Linked DNA regions of Canis lupus familiaris. The protein of the gene in region 2 purifies or fractionates together with the protein of the main gene of each other region. This does not show direct contact. Links are inferred from orthologs where the notes say so. Each region holds a gene or a part of one and is shown on either strand. Other genes may lie near its edges.

Region 1 (2,864 bases), on a different chromosome or scaffold from region 2:
AGCCTTGCTCATTGATTTTTTTTTTTTTTATCAAGCACCTACTATATGCCAGACACTGTCCTAGGTGCTGGGGATTCAGCAATGAACAAGAAAGATGCAGATCCCTTTCTCGTGGAGATAATCACTTCATGAGGGACATAGACAATCTTAAGATAAGGAAGTAGCTGTTGATAGTAAAATCAAGCAAGCAAACAAACCATATGCCAAAGAAAAAAATAAGGAAGATGGATGGGAGTCTGCTTCTCCCTCTCCCTCTGCCACTCCACCCCTCAACCCCCCCACCCCCGTTCGCATTCTTTGACTCTCTCAAATAAATAAATCTTTAAAAAAAAAAAAAAAAAAGGAAGGAAGCAAAAAGAAACCGTCTTAGAAATTCACCTTAGCAAGGGGCTTGGCCTATAATAAATGTTCCCAATAAATGTTAGCTAGCTGGTCTTGGCTGTAGACCTGCCGAGTGACTTCCTCTCTCTGGCCTGTTTCCCTCTGGGCCTGATGAGCCAGCTGAACCCGACAGGCCAGCCCCTGCACCACGGATTCTGAGAGTCCCCTGCAGTGTCCTTCCCCACACCCATCCTCACCTGTCATGCTGGTCTGCCGCCGTTTTCGGCCCTGAGAGGTGCCAGGCACACCCGGGGATGCCTCAGGCCGCTCAGGGGAGTGAGGCAGGAGGGTGCAGGTCAGCGACAGGTCCAGGTGGTCCTCCTGAGCTGTCCCCTGCAGCAGGGCAGGCGAGGTGCCGGGCCGCTTGCCCCCTCCCAGGTCATCCCGGCCCCCCCGGGGCCCCGCAGGCAGGGAGACCTTGGACAGGCCCAGGCCCCGCACGCGCTCCCAGGCAAAGTTGCCTTCCAGCGGCGTCTCGGTGACGAAGTCAAAGTTCCATCGCTCCCGGGCCTCTTGCACACAGCTGGCCATCAGCGCGTCACAGTCCCGGCGCAGCTGCTCGCTGTCCACGGGGCCGAAGAGGCGGCGGCAAGCCTTGCTGCCATGAGGGATGGGCAGGGCGTCCCTGGACGGCTCCGACATGGCACCTGCAGCTGAGACACAAGGCCCCCGGTCACTTGGGGAATGGCACCCTGCCCTAGCAGGCCGGGCTTCCTGTGCAAGCTCAGAGGGGAGCTTCCTACTAGAACACGAGGTCTCTGAGTCCTTCCAGCTGATTCTCCACCATCTCCTCCCCACAGGCCACTCCCAGCCCCCAGTCCACAGCCCCCGGATGGGGCCAGAACTCAGCCATCCTGGCACCCCAAGGTCACTGGGGGAGTGGGCAGCTGAAGGACAGGTTCTGTCAACAAAGACAAGTTTATTGCATTAGCAGGATCGGAGTCCTGTTTACCACCAGTATTATCAACTAAAATCAATGAGTTTCCCCCTCGAGGTGTCCTTCATGGGTGTGAATTACCAGAGTCCAGTAGTTTCCCAACCCCAGCCCGGACCAAAAGGTCAGGTCCCAAATGAAAGGGCAGGCTGACAGCAACTCTGGCCTCCTGAATCCCTCTACCAAGATACCCATGTGGGATAATTCTGTTCTGAAATTCAAAAGTACCCCCAGGGTTTTGGGATAAAAAGAAAAAAAAAAAAAAAACCCCACCTAGGATCTATTCCTAGCTCTGCTGCGTATTACATAAACTTTAAAGTCACTTAAAGGGGTGCCTGGGTGGCTCAGTTGTTTAAGTGTCTGACTTTGGCTCAGGTCATGATCCTGAGGGATGGAGCCCTGCATTGGGCTCCCTCCTCCACAGGGAGTCTGCTTCTCCCCCTCTCTCTGCCTCTTCCTCGGCTTGTGCACAACTCTCTCTCTCTCTAATAAATAAATAAAATCTGTTAAAAATAAGTCACTTAAAAATGTTAAAGATTAAAAAAATAAAGTCACTTAATGTCTCTGGGCCTCAATTTTCTCATCTATAAAAAAATGGGGCTGTGCAAGCATGCTCAAGCAATTGGTCAGGGAGTCCCTTCTAGCAAGGCAATAGAACAGAGGTGGAGGCTCTATCCTGTAGTTAAGAGTGAGGGCTCTGGAGCAGGACTGCCTAGGTTGGAATCCAGGCTCCGCTGGGTGACCCTGCACAAATAGCTTAACTTCTCTCAACTCTATTTGCCTCATCTGTAAAATGGAGACAGTAATAGTGAATGTCTCAGAGGACAGATGTGAGGATTAACTGAGTTAACGTAGGTAACAGGCAGAGAAGCAGCTGGTATATAGAAGCTGGTATATAGAAGTGTTATTATTTCTCTGTGTTCAGTTCTGGCTGAGTCTTCCCCCCCTTCCCCCACCACCACCTCCTTCAGACAGCAGCTGACAGGTGCTGTGTGCTGGGGGCCTTTCCCAAGGATGTCATCAGGCGGGAGGCCTGGAGGTGAGGAGGGGCTGGGCAGGGCAGGCCAGGGTGATGATTTCTCCCAGGCTGAGCCACATCCTGCCAGGCACATCAGGTGATCTGAAGTCTAGACAGCCTGGAAGCCTCTGCCTGTGTTAGCTGCATCTGAGGAACCCGTTTTGCGGGCAAAGAAAATTAGAGTTGACCGGTCTACCTGGTTCCTCTCCTTTCACTTCAGAAGAGGGAAAACCGAGGGTGAGTTTGCTCATGACGAAGTGCTGGCACCTACCTGCCCTGCTCTGGCCTGACTCCAGGGCTGAGCGGCTTTGCAACCTTGGCAGGGACTGGCTTTTCCCCCGAGGACAAGTCCTGCTTTGCAGGCTCTGAGGGTGAAAGCTCTGCTGAGTGACCTCCTGGGGCAGGAAGCCCTGGACCCTTGCCACAGCTCCCCCTCCCCACCCCACCTCCCACAGCTTATAGGAGAGAGGACACATTAGGTGACCTCAGACCAAGTTTAAAGGGCAAGCGTTTAGAGAGATACGAGGCTTG
Region 2 (4,121 bases):
AGTTTTTATACTGTAAAGTCAGTAGCCACTTCCCTTCTCTTTCTTCCCACCTAGAAGATCAATTATGTCAATATGATGTGATCACCAATAATGATAATAACACATTATGAACATCTACTGAGTCTGCCCTACATACCATACAGGACATGATATGCATTATTCCACCAAGTGCCAATAACAAAACTGAGTTGTACGTGAAAAACTGAAGCTCAAAAGTTGAGGGACCTGTCCAAGGTCACATAGCTACAAGTGGCAAGATGGGAAATCCCCAGTGGTCTGACACACACAGCCCACACCCTTAATCTATTCACTATATAATTCCGTATTAAAAACTCACTTCAGGGGATCCCTGGGTGGCTCAGGGGTTGACCACCTGCTGATCCTGGAGTCCCGGGATCGAGTCCCACATCAGGCTCCCTGCATGGAGCCTGCTTCTCCCTCTGCCTGTGTGTGTCTCTCTCTCTCCCTCTCTCTCTGTCTCTCATGAATAAATAAATAAATAAATGAATAAATAAATAAATAAAATATTTTTAAAAATAAAAATAAAAACTCAATTCAGCAGCCTCGAGTACCTTAACATCTTTACATCATCGAACTGATTTTATTGCTTTTTAATTTTGCAAATAAATCATTAAGAAAACACATAGAAAACAAAGATTCATTTTTCTGTAATCCCACTTGCTATATGCCTTGGGTTTGCTATACAAGCATAACCACATACAATCTCTTCATCTCCTTTTACAGTATTCCAGAATGAGAGTCACTATTCAGAATCATGACCCTCTATCAATACAAGAAATAATCGGTTATGTCCACTGCACTCTACTGTTTCTGAGAAGGAGGAAGTAAAATCTACTAGATATTTTAACAAGTGTTGGAATCAAAAGGAGTTTCACATCACTAAGTCTCGGTAAGCTAGGAAATCCAATTAACTGTAATACCCCATTTGGCGGCATTGTAGTTAATACAAATTTTACTGATTGTCGATCAAAATCTTGAATTTGCTTAAACATAAGGAATTTTTAAATTAATGTCTTTGGTTTCTTACTGAGATTCAAGTGCAATGAATTATTTAACACAAAACTGGAAGGGCTCCAACAGAGTCATTAGCATTAGTAAATATACAGTTAATGTGTTTTAGAACAAGACTTAATGGACTCCAGAACCTGCTACCTCTGTGATGGTTTGGGTCCCCACCGAACAACCTCCTTAAAAATGTACACCAACTCAACACACCTTGCTCTCACTCACATTCTCCTTGGCTTCAAACTTCATTTGCATCACTAAGTAAAAGTGAAACTGCAAATATCCAATACATGTAATAAGTAAAACCAGGATTAAATACTTTATAGTCACCATACACCATAACTTTATAGTCATTTGGGGAAAGATTTTGTATACCAATAGGAAATTTTAAGTAAAAGACAACAAAGAAAACGAGGCTAAATTTTTAATCTATATTTTCTCTTACTTGAACAAAGTTTGCATATTTTAGAGTGCACTTATATAATGATTTTTTAAAGGAAGGGATGGAAGGATGACTACAATACTCAAATGCACCCCAAGGGTTTATTTTAAGGAATTAAGTACCTTATGCTTAATTTCCATTAACACCTTCATTAACATGGATGACATGTTAAACAAGTGAAACAAAGGCTAGAAGGTTTCTTAGGGAATCTGAGGGGTTATTTTTAGTGCTTGTATGATTTTCCTCCTGAAAACAGTTACCTATATAAATGTAAGTTATAACGTTAGAAAAGAGCAGCTACCGTCTTCAGGTTGAAAGGGGTTTTCTATGGCCAACCCTAAAAGGCTAACAAACCCATTCCGCATAATAGAGTTGTCACCCTGTGATGGTCTGTGACATGGATTTATTCTTAAATATCCTAAACATTTCTCAGTCGGTTTTTATTTGTAGATCGGTTGGTTGGTTGAAAGACAATAGCTCCGGAGACGTAGCAAATGTAAGAAGTTCGGGAGACTTTTTCCTAAATGTTCCGAGAAGTTCACAGCGCGCATTTTATTTGCTGCAATGGAAAGACCCGGAGAGCTCGGGACGGAACTGCCAAATCTCGCTTTCGAGGACCCGAAGTACCGAACAAAAGGTCCCAAGGTAGCTGTCCCACTTCCCTTTAGCTTGGATGGGTTAAACAATACCAAGGCACGGCTCAACGTTTCACCAGTTTCCAAAGCTGAATTATTGACTAAACACCTCAGAGCAAAGCCTGCGCGCAAGAAAAAAAAAAAAAAAAAATAGCAAGTGACCTAGGCGGGCGCGCAGCCGGGAGCGCAGCGGGGCCCGGGGCGTCCCGTCGCCTGCCCGCCGCGGGCGCGAAAGCCCGAGCGCTAGGGGCGAGGAGAGGGGACCCAATCGGAGGCTTACGGTCCCCCCCAAACGGGCCCCCGGACCCGGAGGGAGAGGGCTGCGCCCCCTGCGCCCCCTGCGCCCCCTGCGCCCCGCCCCCGCCGCGGGTCCGAGCCCGGCTCGCCCCACCGCCCGCCCGCTCGCAGCGCACCCTCGGCCGCGGCCGCAGCGGAGGCGCCCGGAGCGCGGGGAGGAGGAGCCGGCGCCCGAGGCCACCGCCGGCGGCCCGGGGCTGCGCGCCACTCACCCAGGCGGCTGAAACTCTCCGACAAAGTTCTCCGCAACTTCTTCATCTTGCCGACCTTCTCGGCCGGCTGCGGCTCAATGAGGTCGCACATCTGGGCGACGCGGGGCTCCGCCAACTTCCCCAGACTGGTCCAGAGCGGAGCGCAGACAACGGCGAGGGCACGCGGCGAGGAGAAGGCGGCGCCTCCGCCCCCGCCCCCGCCCCCGCCTCCGCCTCCGCCTCCGCCTCCTCCTCGGGCTCGGGCTCGGGCTCGGGCTCCGGCTCGGGCGGCCGCGGGCTGCAGGCTCGGAGCGGGCCTGGGCCGCGGCCGGCCGGGCGGGGGCGTTCTACGTGGTGCCGGGGCCCCCGCGCCGCGCCGCCCGCCTCATTTTCCCTCCTTTGTAACCGAGAGCCGCGCGGTCGGAGGCCGGCAGTGGGGGCGGCGCGGCCGGGGGCGGGGCGGGGCGGGGCGGGGCCGGCCGGGAACGGGGTGCGGGAGGCGGGGGTCGCCGAGGGCGCGGGGCCCGGGCGGGGAGAAGTTCTCAGCCCCGACTTTCGGGCTTCGGCGAGAAAGAGCCGCGCGGCGCGGAGCCGCCGCCCGCAGCGCCCCGCCCCGCCCCTCCCGGGCAGGGGACAGGGGACCCCGAGCGCCGGACCCCAACGGGACCTCGGCCCGCGGCTCCGAGCCCGCGTCGGCGGCGGCTTCCCCGCCCGCCCCCTCCCCGCCCGGCTCGCGCCCCCGCGCGCCCCCTCCCCGCCCCCGCGCGCCCCCTCCCGGCCCCCCGGCCGCCCCGCCCCGCCCCGCCCCGCCCCGCCGCGCCCCGCCCGCCCGCGCGCTCCAGCTCCCGGCCGGCCGAGGGCCTCGAACGCGCAGGGCTGCGAGCCGACTGGGCGCTCGGGCTCACGGGCCCACGCCGCGGGGAGGCCCCCGCCCACAGGGCCGCTTGCGGGAGTGGTTTCCCCCTCGCCACGAACGCGCGTGGAATGAGCGAGGCGTTGGGGGGCGGGGGTGGCCGCCACCGCTGCCTCTGGGTCACGGGGATGGAAAGGCCTGGGGACCACTCGGGTTGGGCGGGGACTCCCCCCCCCCCCCAGTTTGCCAAGAAGGCTGTGAAGTGAAAGATGCAAAGGGAAAAGTGGGCCGTTTTTTTAAGGGGAGTCAAGCGCCAACGTCCAAGCGTCGACTGCAACCCCCCGAGGCAGGGCGGATGCGGCCTTCTTCGCCCCCGTGCCAGTCTGCGCGGCTGATGGGAACGTGCATGCAGCCAATTTCTGATATGAAAACCCAGGGCCATAGTCCATAGCAAACAGAAAGTCCTTCGTCCCCTCACCAATTTTAGAATATATTTCCAAACTGGAAGACTTAGAGGCCGAAAAGATTCTGACCTCCTCTTCCCCCACCTCAAAAAATAAATTTTAAAAAGGAGGGGGGTGGGGGTGAGAGAGGCTTTATGAAAATCCCAGAACAAACAGTTCAGGCAGCAAACACACCTCGTCTTCATTCTATTAAAACGTGGTGCAGCCACGGCT
Region 3 (3,500 bases), on a different chromosome or scaffold from region 2:
ATATGTCCACATTGTGTGTGAATATCTTACACATTACTGACACAAAAATCACAAAAGAGAAGGCAGTAATACACAGCACGTCTTCCTATACAGGTATTCACAAAGGATATATGTGTCCATCGGATCTTATTAATGTCATTAAAATCTTTGCACAGAATCAACAACAGGAAACCTGGACATTTATTGTTTTTGAATGTGATTTTATAACTGACTTTCAGTGGGGACTGTGGAATGGACTTCACACCCTCTTTTGGGGGATCCATTATGTATTCTTCCAAAACAACAACAACAACAACAAAGACAACCTTGAAGGCGAAGATGTAGTTTCCCTAAGGTAGCTGGTAAGACTCTCTGCTTACCATCTCTGCCAGCGAACTACAGAATCGCTGCAGTCATCATGAAGGCACTCACCAGGGTGACAATGGCACATTCAGCTGTCAGCTGAGCAGCACTGAACAGTGTCCGAACAAACCGGTAAATCTGTTTCTGCTCGGGGTTGTGTTTGTCATAATCTGGTGGCACTTCGGATTTCTGGGGAAGGAAAGAGTTTCAGATGACTGGCCACCCAATAAAAACAAAAGAGAAATAATTAAACAACATCAGGAGGAGATTACCGAAAGAGGGTGAAGGTTTTCATCAAAAATATCTAAGAGCATCCTTCCATCTGGGTCCCTGGTGGGGAAAATAAGAGACAATAGAGTTTACTTTCTGCAAGAATGCCATTCAAAATAAGATAAAAATATATTTTGATTTGACATATTTCAAGAAACTAAAGTCAATGTTAAATGTAGGAGATGCTATTGGTTATCCACAAGTAATTTTCTTATGTATAATATTTAACCATTTTTGTCTGAACAGTCTATGAAACAAAGGTTATAAACCACATTTAGTTGAATTAACCTAAGCAAAAATACTGAGATTTTCATTTTCTGAGTATTCAAATGAACCAAATCTAAGCAAGTGACAAACTTCTTTAAACATTTTGCTTCTCAGCAAAGGTGGATGGATATACTTAAACCATCCCTATACAGTAGTTGAATGGAAAGAAGTTTGATAAAAATGAACATTCAGGATGTTCTAGAAAGTAATTTGGAGTTTTCAGAACATACAACTTAAACACTTTGTTAATTAAGAGTTTCACAATTTTATATTGAAAAACAAGAGATGATGTGTAGAAAAGCTTAACTCAGTAACCCATAAACCTATAAAAGAATGGTTGGTTGCTACTAGGCCAGAAAATGTCATTTAACGTGGTGACAGTACCTTGAGTTTGGTTGGGCTCTACAGAGACGAACTGCACACTTCACCAGCAAAGCTCTGCTTTCATCTGTTTTATGTCATTTGACTTCTGCCTAAAAATGGTTCTTTAAAAACCAAATTTGGAAACTGGTGCTTTGGTAACAGCATATAAATTCCATAGTCTGTGCTTCCAAAGTCTATTAGGCTTGTGAATATCAGAAGGGTATAGACCTGTCCCTAACATATACCTTTCATAGTAAACACCACAATTTCTGCTCTATAAATTTACTGCCTGCATAAAAATAATATAGAAAAAAGAGCTTAAGGGGATCCTTGGGTGGCTCAGCGGTTTAGCGCCTGCCTTTGGCCCAGGGCACGATCCTGGAGTCCCAGGATCGAGTCCCGCTTCGGGCTCCTGGCATGGAGCCTGTTTCTCCCTCTGCCTGTATCTCTGCCTCTCTCTATATATATGTCTATCATGAATAAAAAAATAAATAAATCTTTTTAAAAAAAAGAAAAAAAAGCTTAATTGAACAGCTAAGTTTTTATTACTCTATTTATACAACAGGAATTATTTTTAAAGCTTTGGGCATTCATACCTGTGTTCATTTTCACTAGCCTATGGGAATACAGCCAATAAAGCTTTAGATGAGCTGTAGTAAAAGAAAGGACTAGGCAGGACCTGATAACAGGGTCTGAAAACAAAGCTCCTTCTGGGTGCACTCAGTTATACTTCCTTTTATAATGACCTGGTTATGAAGAACCAGTTGGTTCTCATCTCACTAACAACCTCTGCAAGATATTCGAGGTGCTGTGTAAAAGACAAAACCTGGCCCTGCACCCCATTTTCTTGGGCAGTTCAGCCCTGATCAATATTCCTGATGAATAACAGACCCTTAAAAGCCATTCAGCATTCTAGAGAAATACTCACCAGAAGTAAGTTTAAAAATAAAAACAGGATGAAAAATATAAAATGAGGATTAAGAATTTAAGCTAAAATGACTCTGGAAGAAAACTGACTCCTCTGAGAAATGAATTTTCCTTTCACTTTCATTGAAAGCTATGTATCCCAGGGCACCTGGGTGGCACAGTTAGTTAAGCATCCTACTCTTGGTTTCAGCTCAGATCATGATGTCAGGGTCCTGGGATCGAGCCCCACTTTGGGCTCCACACTCAGCATGGAGTTTGCTTGAGATTCTCTCTCCTTCTCCTGCCCCTCCCACTAGTTTTCTCTCTCCCTCAAATAAATACACAAATATTTAAAATATAATAAAAGGAAAGAAAGCTATGTATCCCAGAGGCACCAAGGTGGCTCAGTTAGTCAAGCGTCCAACTCTCAAGTTTGGCTCAGGTCATGATCTCAGGATTGTGAGATCAAGCCCCATGTCAGGCTCTGCACTGGGTATGGAGCCTGCTTCAAATTCTCTCTCTCTCTCTCCCCAACACCCCCACCCCTGTGCAAGCCCTTGAAAGCAAGCAAGCAAGCGAGCAAGCAAGCAAGCTGGCTAGCTATGTATCCCAGCTGAGTAGCAGCCTCTCTATCAAGCTACTGTATCTATCACCAGCTCCAGAAGTGAGGCCAGTATGACTGATTGAGAAGAAAATCTACAGGGTCATGCCACTTCTTCCCAAAGATCTTCAGGTTATAATCTGTGGATTTATCATGCTTGTTTCTAAACACTTGCTTTTTTAGTTGGATGTTCTCCACTTCTTCTCACTAACTTTTGGTCAATTTATCACCATTAACCCACTAGATTATATGATTAAAAGTCTCAGTATATTGTTTGGGTTCAATCCTCAATTCCCCAGTTCATTAGCTGTGCTATCTTAGGCAAATTATTTAATATCCCTGTGCCTCAGTTTCTTTACCTCTAAAATAAAGATAACGTATCACCTCATGGTACTGTTTTTAAAAATAAATGAGATAATGCATATAAATAGCTGATCAGGGTAGTCAGTGCTTAATAAAGCTGGCTCTTATTATTACCAGTTATGGCTACAAAATAACTTTGAGATCCACTGCAGTCTAAGAACTGAGAAATCACTTAGAGATGCTAATGCAAAATTGGTCTGAAAGAACATCTGAGTTTCACTAATGGTATTACGTTGTTATTTAAGACTTAAATTTTTAAAAGTTTGAACTGTTATCTGAGAAATGGGCAGCAAGACAAAAATTTGCACTTTCACTGATACACTATTCTGGTCAAGGTTCAAAGTTCCACAATGCTACATTTTCTAAATTCTTAAATCTAAATTCTCAA

The links.
Region 1: the proteins of CDK14 (region 2) and CDKN1A purify together in Homo sapiens (affinity purification with mass spectrometry; 3 studies listed by BioGRID and IntAct, counting the BioPlex papers as one, with this or other methods). This does not show direct contact. The link is inferred for Canis lupus familiaris from reciprocal best matches to the Homo sapiens genes CDK14 and CDKN1A.
Region 3: the proteins of CDK14 (region 2) and CCNY purify together in Homo sapiens (affinity purification with western blotting; 3 studies listed by BioGRID and IntAct, with this or other methods). This does not show direct contact. The link is inferred for Canis lupus familiaris from reciprocal best matches to the Homo sapiens genes CDK14 and CCNY.

The regions. Positions count from the first base shown.
Region 1 is NC_049233.1:5,931,229-5,934,092, reverse strand, and holds part of CDKN1A (cyclin-dependent kinase inhibitor 1), read right to left. Parts: intron 1,035-2,864; 5' UTR 1,024-1,034; coding exon 579-1,023; intron 1-578. UniProt on the Homo sapiens protein: Plays an important role in controlling cell cycle progression and DNA damage-induced G2 arrest. Involved in p53/TP53 mediated inhibition of cellular proliferation in response to DNA damage.
Region 2 is NC_049235.1:16,409,649-16,413,769, reverse strand, and holds the start of CDK14 (cyclin-dependent kinase 14), read right to left. Parts: upstream 2,801-4,121; 5' UTR 2,704-2,800; coding exon 2,613-2,703; intron 1-2,612. UniProt on the Homo sapiens protein: Serine/threonine-protein kinase involved in the control of the eukaryotic cell cycle, whose activity is controlled by an associated cyclin.
Region 3 is NC_049223.1:1,649,626-1,653,125, forward strand, and holds part of CCNY (cyclin-Y), read right to left. Parts: intron 673-3,500; coding exon 615-672; intron 532-614; coding exon 412-531; intron 1-411. UniProt on the Homo sapiens protein: Positive regulatory subunit of the cyclin-dependent kinases CDK14/PFTK1 and CDK16.